Linked DNA regions of Drosophila melanogaster. The protein of the gene in region 3 interacts with the protein of the main gene of each other region in a pairwise test. Each region holds a gene or a part of one and is shown on either strand. Other genes may lie near its edges.

Region 1 (3,755 bases), on a different chromosome or scaffold from region 3:
GCAGTCGCAGATCCAAGCGAGTGGGTCACACTTCGAGCTCAAGCTGAACCTGAACCTAGGTATGGAGTCTGCCATGGAGTCGGGCAGTACTGGCCAGGCTGTGCGAATACTGGCGGCCGTGCAGGCTAAGCTAACTACCCAAAATGCCGAGACGAGCTTTACGCAGTCGCAAAACATCAATAACAGCAGCAACAATAAGATGACCAACTTTCCATTTTATGTCTAAGTAAGCAGATTGGAGCAGAAGACGATGCCGAGTATGATAGCTAGCTATATAGATAGAGAACTGTGTCGAGAGTATATAATTGTCCGTAGTGTGATCGATCGTTTTAAATGTTGAATGTTTAAGAACGCGGTAGCCCAATAGCCAATAGCACCCTGTATGTATATGTATGTAACCAATGTATTTAACTGTTGATAGTTGATCCCAAGTCGATGTGAGTAAGAGATGTGCGTTAACGACAAACTGCAATCAAATAAAAAACAAAGCATTTTATTGCAAACACTGAGATGAACGAACGGTGGGCTCTTCCCCGACAATTTATGTAGTGTAGAATGATAAGGACTAAACCACATTCATGGCGCGCGGTGTTTGTTTGCTGGCTTCGCTGTTTTTCAGCTGGAGGTAGAAGGAGTACACAATTCGTGCGCTGAAGAGGATCAATACTGAAAGTGTAGCGGAGAATATGTATGATCTGTACATTTTTGTTAACTCAATTTGATGTTCATAGCCGATACTTACGAAATGTGATGATGTAAACGAGCAGGGCACCGAAAACGTTGTTCATTCCGGTAGCCTCGCGATATCCTCCGTAGTGGAAGATAACCCCGAAGACGGCAAACGGAAAGGAGATGGCTTCAATGGCAGCGAAGATCAGCCAGACGAACACCAGAATTGGCTTTTCCTGCAATTCGGAAAGGTAGATTGGGTTTCGTTGACTCAATAAAACGGAATGGGTTGTATTTTATTTACCTTCAGGGTTCCTATCAATAAGCAAATATTGGCGACTACTACGATGGCAAATCCAATAAAGGTAAGAACTGCAAGGATTCAAGTGAATTTAAATAGAAATTATTGAACGTACATATTTCATTCATAAAAAAAGCCGTTACAATTAGTGGAAAGTAAACATAAACTTGGGCTTATAAGTGACTCAATGTATTCCAAGCAAAACGTTGCTGTGCTCTTATCTTTCTTCCCGTCTGAAATTTGAGAACACGACTGCTAAATGTATCTTCGTATATAATGAGTACATATTGATGCACTGATGCACTTCATGTACATGTGTACATATACATAAAGAACTAAAACATAAATTCTTCTTTTATATTTTAAACACATTTCATACATGAAATATGACAAACTTTTTAAAACAGCTTAGAATAAGGTTTATAGAACTTCTTTGAGACATGGACAAATGCAGGGCTTTAAGTGTTTTTATGACATATGGCGTTCAACTGTTAAAACCCAATAATCTTTTAAGTTTAATTCTGCGCCATGCACAGCCCAAGGAAATTATTTAATTTTCTTTTTTGTGCTGGAAAATTCAAGCCTGTGAGAAAATGGCATTTCGGGCCACCTAAAATGAATTGTCAGCTCGAATTTGTCGGCGATGTCGTCATCGATGGTGAGGTGTTGTATCCAAAATGGTTGTGAATTGGAACGCGTTTGTGTCGAATGGATTAGCTCATTCGTTTATTTCGCATGTGAACATCATGAATGTATTGTCTCTCTATGGAAATAGCGTCAGTCTGGGCAATCAGCTTCTGAAAATAAACAAATGCCACGCCTCTCGCATTTCTCCTACCGTTTGGAGCGAATATAACGTTGAAAGTCATGCTCAATAGCCAATAGATCGCGATTCCCAGGCACCAGCTCCGCAAATCGGTATTGCACGGGCCATTTTCCACCGTCAGATCGATTTTCATTTTGAAACTCTGTGGTTTACAGCGAATTTTCCAAATACAAATATGGCTAGTATGGCACTTAAACCGGTTTGGGAACACCTAGCGCACGGAAACACAACCGCACTGGGCAAGAATCAAATAATAAGTGTGGCGCAAATGCCGATGCCGCTCAGAAGAAACGGTTGCGTAAACTATGCAACACGAAAATACTTTTTTTTCGAGCGTGGAAAAACTACGTCTGATATGTTCTTAAAAAATATATGTGCACTCATTTACTATATGAATTTGTTTGCATATGTTTCGTCATTTAAGAGTGAAATGAATAAAATGGGGAATTGTCTTTAAAATAATAGAGAGATTTAATGCTGTATTATATATGTAATGTAGCTACTATTAGCACCTTGAAAAATATTATGAAAGTAAGCCGCTGCTGTGCAGTGTTAATGAATACATAAATAAATATTTTTTAACTATCATGCCAAATAATAAATGCATAAAAATATTTAAAATATAAAAATGTTATTAAAAGAATTTTAAACAATTAGCGTTAAAAAGTCACATTAAAAGCTGGTGAACAAGTCACAGTTTCGACACCAACTGCTTGAACCAGTCTGGCAACGCCGCTGTACCCAAAAGCTTTTAATTGTCAGCCAATTGCGACTTATCAAGCAATTGCAATTTTGCTGCGCCGGCGAACTGAAGTAAAATTGTCTTTATCTTCGCATTAGCACGAAATCAAGTGAATCCAGAATGCTGTCCAGGGTCTTCTGTATGCGCCTGAACACCTATGGTGTGGTCATTGGATGGCTGGGCGTGATTCTATCCTTCTTGGCCACGATCCTCTTGTCCTTGGCCCTCGGATTCGTCGATGAAATTGCGCAGCAGATCGCCAAGGGATCGGAAGATTCTAACAAGACGGCCACCGAGATTCGCAGTGGTAAGGGCTAACCATCGAGTGCACCCACAACCAATCGTATATTTTTTATTGTATTTCATTGTTCTTGCGGTTATTGCAGTGCTAATCATCGTTTTCAGTGTTTACCTGGCGCTCAAGGTGATTAATCTTCTGGCTTCGGCCATGTTGGTTGCAGGTACCGTTAAGGTAAGTCTAGTATCAATATGCAATCTGTACAATCGCGTATATATGTGTCTACTATAGTACATATCTAGAGTTAGACCTTTTTAAAAGCCCACTATTCTGTAAAAAAAACCGGCAAGTTTCTTTGCAAATACATATGTACATACACCATACTAACTAGAGATAGAGATGGTTCTAATAGCGTTTGCCTTTCAGGAACGCCATTTACTCCTGCTGCCCTGGCTGATCAACAATGGAGTGCTGCTTGTCTTTGGAATTATCACCAATATTGCAATGCTGGCCCAGATCATCGGAAATACATCTTTCCTGAGCGCTCTTCCAATCATTTTCGTGGATGTTGGCCTGCTCTGTAAGTGACTCACCACTTCATACATACATAAGCTCTATCTGGAAATGGGTATACACAATACACACTGGCCGTTGTTGCGAAATTGTGGATCCCCATTGCGCTTATCGCTCGACGGTCTGCGATCGTTCTATAATTGCGCTTGGGCACGATGCTTATTTTTCTCCATTCGCTCGTTTTCAGTGCTGACCTGGTATCTCTACTACGGCATCTACTCGCTCTTCAAGCAGATCCAGGCATCCCGTGAGATCCAGCGCCCGCTGATCCCACAGCCGACCCAGCAGACCAACTCCTATCCCAGCTACACCAAGATTTAAGCTCCAGTGTAGCTTCCCGTTTGGCCAGCTCTTATTTCATCATATCCCTTTTCGAATGTTTCCAATGGGGCTTCCCCGATAAACC
Region 2 (3,755 bases), on a different chromosome or scaffold from region 3:
ACAATAAGCGGATGGAAACAATTGGCTGAGCACTATACTAACCATCAGGCAGATCCTGCTTGTTAGCAAATATCAGTATGATGGCGTCGCGCATCTCCCTATCGTTAATTATCCTATGCAGCTCCGTGCGCGCCTCGTCTATCCGATCCCGATCCGCACAATCCACGACGAAGATCAGACCCTGTGTACCCGTGTAATAGTGTCGCCATAGCGGTCGAATCTTATCCTGCCCACCGACGTCCCACACATTGAACTTGACATTCTTATAGGTGACGGTTTCCACATTAAAGCCCACAGTGGGTATCGTTGTAACAGATTGGCCAAGTTTCAGTTTGTACAGAATCGCTGTGGGTGGACAAAAACAATATTACTTTAGACACGCAAAGGATGTATAAACAAAATAGCTCGAATTCGATTAGTGATAGTACTGGTGTACGTATTGAAAGGTCTTTATATTGTACATTTTTTCAAAGTACAATAAGAATAAAAACAAAACAATAATTGCCTCGCCTCAAGAGTATTTTTTAAATGGGATTGGTTTCCACTTAGGAAACTGATGAAACTAATGGGTACTAATCAGGCCCACAATCGAATTCGAGAACCCTTTATTGTTTATGTGCTTACTTGTTTTTCCAGCCGCGTCCAGTCCGAGCATGAGAATTCGCATTTCCTTGTTGCCGAAAATTTTTGATAGTAACTTTCCCATGGTGCTGATGTGTCATCCATTAAACCTTAGCCAATCTGAAAAACAGTTCGAGTAGAGTTGGCGAGGTCTTCCAAATAAGCATATCGATAAGAATAGCTGGGCGAGATTCAGGGCAGGGTCAGTGAATTTCCAGATAATAGGGCCATTGTAATACAGTTTGCAGTTAACATATCAATTTATGATATAAGAACGCCGTCGCGCGAAGGCGCGTAAGTGATATATGAACATACAAATGTAGCTACATATGTACACATACGGCGGGCACAGGCAATTTGGTGGCCATATAGAGCTTGTACGACGGCGGAAGCTAAGACCATTATTTTGCATAATAATTTCACTTACATTGTCATCAGCTCGTTGCTAAAAAGCGAGAAAAAAGTGGAGAGGCAGAATTTATCAGTGAAGAGCTTGCAGCACACAGTCGCACACACAAACACACGCACACATGCTTACACATAGGAAGTACAATTGGACAGATAAACACACTATAGTGTCTCGCAAATTGAGGCAGAGTTATCTCAATTGCGGGCTTATCGCTGGCTCCACTGAATGGGCGGGTGGATCCGACCGCTCCACCCCCGCCCCCTGAACAGCCACCGCACCCCTCGACGACCCAGTAAAGCCGGCTTGGGAGCAACGATATCGGATGGTTTTCGGATTCTACGGAATTTCGCTCGCTCTCTCGCTGCTGCTTGCCTACGTCACAAACACGCCCGTAACACACATACACATGTATACACACCCAAGTCTCCGACGACCGCCGTTACGCACCGCTTTCCAGCCCAATTCGTTCCACGCCAGCCTGAAATCCGTTAACATGTAGTGCCAAAGTGCGCGGGCCGGGGCATAAAATGCATTTGCTAGCACACGGCGGCCAAAAAACTATAACTAACAACAACAATTTTGCACTAATCTTCTTGTATTTATATACACATACACGAAGCAATGTGCCCGTTAGCGCAGAGCGGAACAAGATCTTCGGGAATTCCAGAAAATACGCTAAAAAATGCAAAGAATGCGGAGGATAAATACCAAAAATACTGAATTTATCAGATGAAAAACGGTGACTGGCGGGGATATCGTGATTTTTTGGCCAATAAGTTATTACTTTTGCAATTCAAAATTGAAAAAGATTTATTTTCTTATATTCATTTATTATTCATATTAATTTAGCAAACAATGTAGCTGATATATTCTCCTCGTACGTTCAACAATTTGTTAATTTTTTTTAATTTTAAAAATTTTTGTTTTGTGTATTTAGTGATTTGGTATTTTAATGTAGCCCTGGTGAACTTACAAAGCCCTAGGGCGGCCACACTGAAACCGATGATTGAAATCAAGTCGATTGATTTCAGTTTCCTTCTTTTGTATTGTTTTATATTTGAGCAATACTTACGATACTGACATCGCTCAGAGGTACAATGGAACTTAGTTAGTCGTCGACCAGAACAGACTCGGAAAACATGGCTGGCATTTGCCCCCGGGAGGCGGTTCGGGTGAAAGTGAAGGCAAGTGAAAGGTGGCCAGAAGGCGAGACAACAAAAGGGCTGCTTAGTTTGTGTTCCTCAATCTAATTTTTTTGAAATCGCCCACAGAAATGCGAACCCACTGCTCGGCCGGAGTGGCGAAAGTTTTCAGTGGACCCGCAGATCACCACGCTGGAGGTGTTGTACTCCCTGCTGGCCAAGGCCTTCGATGTCAAGTCGGACTTCTCCATTAAGTACAAGGCCTTTGATCCGGCGGGCAACGAGATCTACCTGGCCGTGCGCTCCGACTGGGATCTGGATGCCGCCTTTCTGAGGATTCACAACATTTCCATTCAGACGGCCTCAGAACCCTGCCTCACCCTGCAGATCGATGTGAAGCCATTTACGGTGGTCAGGGAGTGTGAGACCGAGGCCTCCCCGGGTAGATCCATAACGGGAGCGCCTGCTCCCGCAACTCCTGCACCTTTTGTACCCGCCCGCGAGCTTATGTCACCACTGCAGTCCTTAGGAGTCTCCCAGAAATATGTCCAGCACATGCAGACCAAACTGGGCAGCTCCATTCTGAATCAGATGGAGAAAACCTTCTCCATAGTGCAGAAAGCGTTTAACTTATCCGAGGAGCATATGGCCAATCTACCGCCACGGCCGCCCATGTGCGACAGCGAGTTCCGGCTCTTTCTGGACGCACTTGGTCAGATTCAACGCAAGGACGAGTTGCATAGGGTCATCTTCCTAGGAGGCATTGACCCCAGTCTGCGGCGCGTTGTGTGGAAACATCTGCTTAACGTTTATCCCGGTGGCGCTAACGGACTGGCACTTGATGGACACCAGCGTATGGAATTCATGCGACGAAAGTCTGAGCAGTACTGTCGTCTGAGAGACACATGGAAAGCGGCCGTGAAGCGAGGCAGTGTGGCTGGAGAACTGGCTTACGTAACGAGCATGGTAAAGAAGGATGTTCTCCGCACGGACCGCCTGCATCCATTTTATGCAGGCAGCGACGACAATCAGAACATCGCTGCGCTTTTCAATATCCTCACCACATATGCACTAAACCATCCATCGGTCTCATATTGTCAAGGCATGTCGGACATTGCTTCCCCGCTACTGGTTACCATGAACGACGAGGCACAGGCCTACATCTGCTTTTGTGCGATAATGTCACGTATGCGTGGAAACTTCATGCTGGATGGGATTGCAATGACTCAGAAATTTGCTCACCTAACGGAGGCGCTAAGTTTTTATGATCCTGAGTTCTGGGAGTACCTCAAGTCGCAGCAAGCGGACGACTTACTTTTCTGTTACCGTTGGCTACTGCTGGAGCTAAAGCGGGAGTTTCCTTTTGAGGATGCCCTTCGCATGCTGGAGGTGCAGTGGAGTTCACTTCGTTATCGATGTGATGGGGAGAAAGAGCTGGCGCTCTTTGAAAAGGTTAGTGCGAAACCCAAAGGGAATTGCTTAATTTCTAATCACCATGATTTTTCACAGGAATTCGTACCCATTACTGATGCCTCCGTGCCCAATAGCGCCAGCACTTTTTCCAGCTCCTACAGCGCTACGCC
Region 3 (3,425 bases):
TGGACAACGCCCTCCTCGTCGGAGGACTCCGAGAATTACCCGTATATGCGGAGTACGCCCACCACCACGAATATCCTGTACTTTGTCGAGTTCTACGACCTGAACAGCGATTGGCGCATGTGCCGCCAGCAGCGCGAAAGCTTCTATAAGAATATTGACGGCATCGTCCTCGTGTACAACATGCTGGAACTGAGCTCCCAGGACAGCCTGCACGATTGGCTGTACGATCCGTTGCGACAGATCTGCAAGCATCGACATCTGCGCATCCGTTCCATATTGAAAAACCATAATGCGCCCATTCTGGTGGTGGGCACCAACCTGGACAAGCTGATGCGACGACCACTGCGTCGAAGGGGCAGCATTGCCCACCAGTTAAACGTCGAGGAGATGCTCGTCAATTGCCTGGATCCCCAAAGCTTTGTGGACAAGAGCCGTAATCAGGGCAAACTGTACGGCTTCCTAAACCGCGTCATCGAGTTCAAGGAGCAATTTCCACTGTTAAGTTTCCGCCACTTGTGACCTTTTATTTTTTAGTTTCCCATCAATTTTTTTAATAAAATTTATGGAAAAATGAAGTAGCACTACGTTTTTCTAACGAAGCTTTCTTTAGGAATTATGGACATGGCGAATTTAAAGTAACTTGTTTTAGCATTTCACATAGTTTATTTCAAAAATTCTCTGTGGTGTAAATGATCTTGGATCTGGTAGCTGCACCATCGGCTGCTTCTTATCCTGGTGGCCACTGCATCTGGCGGCCGCCGAGGAAGTGCAAATGCAAGTGGTAAACTGACTGGGCGCCGTGCTTGCCATTGTTGATGACCACGCGGTAGCCATCCGCGAGGCCGAGCTCCTTGGCCACCTTGCGGCCCACCAGCATGAGATGTCCCAGCAGATCGGCATCTCCATCCTCGGCTAGCGAGAGTTGGGCAATTGGCTTGCGAGGAATCACGAGGAAGTGGGTTGGTGCCTGGGGCGCCACATCGTGGAAGGCAACGCACTGTGAAAGATTCGATAGGTAACATCTTTTTCTAGCAACCAAATGGACTGCGATCTCACTTTATCATCCTCGTGGATAAATTTGCATGGGATCTCCTTGCGCAAAATCTTGCCGAAAATGGTGTCTTCACTGGCGGCTGCCGTTTGCGATTTTTCCACTTCGCTTGCCATTCTAGCACTGCAGCTTGCTATTTGGCGAGAGCTGCAGCGTAAATACAGTATATAATCGCGGCACTTTAGATAATTAAGCCAATTTCGCACGAACTCACCTGAAAACACGAAAGAAATTCCGGCCGGTTGACAAGAACATCGAAATAGCGCTGCCAACTTGGTTTTCAGACAATTCACACAGAGCGGCAAATTTAGGGTATTCGAATGCTCTCACACCTGCGTCGCTATAATGTTATTTATTATTTAAAAAAAACATCAACAAATTATTACAGGGAAATGCAAAAGTATTTAGTGCCATAGATCGCTTTAATTAATTAGGGCTGTAGGGCTAGTGAAAATTCAATTCAAAGGAGGTGCACATAGGTGGACTTTGAACCCTGCTGCAACATATGGAAATCATAGAGATCTTCAAACCAGAAAAACTACTCTTTTGATCGCAAGATCAAGTTGCTCCGTGGCAATATTTTTGTGATATCAGTGCAGTCCAGTATCTTTATCTGGAGAATCACTGCATCTGTGGGAACATCAACAGCTTGTGACGTAATGTTGCCGCGCTCCTTATCGCTATAGAATGCTCAAGATTAGTTCGAAACTATCGGCTAGGTGCAAATTCCAATAATCCACTTGACTTGCCAGAAAACAGCAACACTAGTTCCGAAATCGAGCAGCTGCCGGCCGTTAAGGTGAAGGTGAAGGAGGAGCAGAGCAATAGCAACCTGTAGCCATGACCACCACGGAGAACGTGTCCACGGAGCGCAAAGCGAATCCAGTGAAGTCCTTCCTGACCGGCGGATTCGGTGGGATCTGCAATGTGCTCTCTGGCCATCCGCTGGACACCATCAAGGTGCGCCTGCAGACCATGCCGCGTCCGGCGCCGGGTGAGCAGCCCCTGTACCGCGGCACCTTCGACTGTGCGGCCAAGACGATCAAAAATGAGGGCGTCCGCGGTCTGTACAAGGGCATGTCCGCACCGTTGACGGGCGTTGCTCCGATCTTTGCGATGTGCTTCGCCGGCTATGCGCTGGGCAAGCGGCTGCAGCAGCGCGGCGAGGACGCCAAGCTGACCTACCCGCAAATCTTCGTGGCCGGCTCCTTCTCCGGCCTGTTCTCCACCCTGATAATGGCACCCGGCGAGCGCATCAAGGTGCTCCTGCAGACGCAGCAGGGTCAGGGTGGCGAGCGCAAGTACAACGGCATGATCGACTGCGCCGGCAAGCTATACAAGGAGGGTGGACTTCGCAGCGTTTTCAAGGGCAGCTGCGCCACAATGCTCAGGGATTTGCCCGCCAACGGGCTGTACTTCCTGGTCTACGAGGCGCTGCAGGATGTGGCCAAGTCGAAGTCAGAGACGGGACAAATCAGTACTGCCTCAACGATTTTCGCAGGTGGAGTGGCGGGCATGGCCTACTGGATTCTGGGCATGCCAGCCGACGTGTTAAAGAGCCGCCTACAATCGGCTCCCGAAGGCACCTACAAGCACGGCATACGCAGTGTCTTCAAGGATCTGATTGTCAAGGATGGACCTCTGGCCTTGTACCGCGGCGTGACGCCCATCATGCTCCGAGCCTTCCCAGCCAACGCTGCCTGCTTCTTCGGCATTGAGTTGGCTAACAAATTCTTTAACATCGTAGCTCCAAATTTCTAGTTTGTCTAATAAAGAAAGTGCCTCGCTAAAATGTTTTTACAACTTGAAGAAAACTAGCTATATTTGTGTGCCCAATTCAAAACTTTAGAGCTTAACTAAATCTAAACGAAATACTGCGGCTTGCGCATGGTGATGCCGTGGTCCGCGAGTGCCGGCACCAGGTCCTCCATGGCCAGCGTGTACTTCCTGTCCTTGGGGTTTTTCTTGTCCTTGCTGGAACTGTGTCCGCTGGAATGCTGGATGTTCGTGGTGCGCGTCTTGCAGTGCTGCAGTGCGTCGTTGGCAATATCCGAGATGAACTTCTGCGCGGACACCGAGACGAGGCGCACTATCTTGGGGTCCACTGTGCAGAAGCCAGCCTGCAGATTTAATCCAATATTAGAAATGCTACAAAGAATAGTTTCCGGTATATAGCTACCGTTTTCAAGATGTGCATGGTGAGGGCGTCTGGTATGGTGGGCGAGTAGTCCTCCAGCTGCTTTATCAGCTCATCCATCTCCGATTCCTCCGTCGTCAGAGGAACCTCCTCCACGTCCGGTTGCTCCTCGTCGGAATGCAGTTCGGACTGCATTAGTGGCGAGTCTATATCCTCCTCCTCGGTGTCCGTGGCCGA

What was found.
Region 1: the proteins of HINT1 (region 3) and CG15083 interact in a two-hybrid assay, tested with the Drosophila melanogaster proteins (one large-scale study listed by BioGRID).
Region 2: the proteins of HINT1 (region 3) and Arf6 interact in a two-hybrid assay, tested with the Drosophila melanogaster proteins (one large-scale study listed by BioGRID).

Annotation. Positions count from the first base shown.
Region 1 is NT_033778.4:18,833,566-18,837,320, reverse strand, and holds CG15083 (uncharacterized protein), read right to left. Parts: upstream 2,059-3,755; 5' UTR 1,930-2,058; coding exon 1,809-1,929; intron 1,042-1,808; coding exon 974-1,041; intron 906-973; coding exon 743-905; intron 667-742; coding exon 566-666; 3' UTR 479-565; downstream 1-478. Other genes in the region: CG15098 (uncharacterized protein), read left to right, coding at 2,659-2,845, 2,925-3,010, 3,203-3,356, 3,537-3,670.
Region 2 is NT_033778.4:15,320,435-15,324,189, reverse strand, and holds the start of Arf6 (ADP ribosylation factor 6), read right to left. Parts: upstream 1,690-3,755; 5' UTR 1,478-1,689; exon of another isoform or gene 1,449-1,477; intron 1,388-1,448; exon of another isoform or gene 1,160-1,387; intron 1,067-1,159; 5' UTR 1,049-1,066; intron 742-1,048; 5' UTR 707-741; coding exon 625-706; intron 346-624; coding exon 43-345; intron 1-42. Other genes in the region: CG8155 (uncharacterized protein), read left to right, coding at 2,170-2,214, 2,302-3,624, 3,682-3,755. UniProt on the Drosophila melanogaster protein: GTP-binding protein involved in protein trafficking; may modulate vesicle budding and uncoating within the Golgi apparatus. Promotes cell movement and remodeling of the actin cytoskeleton during compound eye morphogenesis.
Region 3 is NT_033779.5:2,768,032-2,771,456, reverse strand, and holds HINT1 (histidine triad nucleotide binding protein 1), read right to left. Parts: upstream 1,323-3,425; 5' UTR 1,307-1,322; coding exon 1,266-1,306; intron 1,264-1,265; exon of another isoform or gene 1,199-1,263; coding exon 1,057-1,198; intron 998-1,056; coding exon 728-997; 3' UTR 553-727; downstream 1-552. Other genes in the region: CG15399 (uncharacterized protein), read left to right, coding at 1-519; colt (congested-like trachea), read left to right, coding at 1,892-2,812; Taf10 (TBP-associated factor 10), read right to left, coding at 2,914-3,171, 3,231-3,425.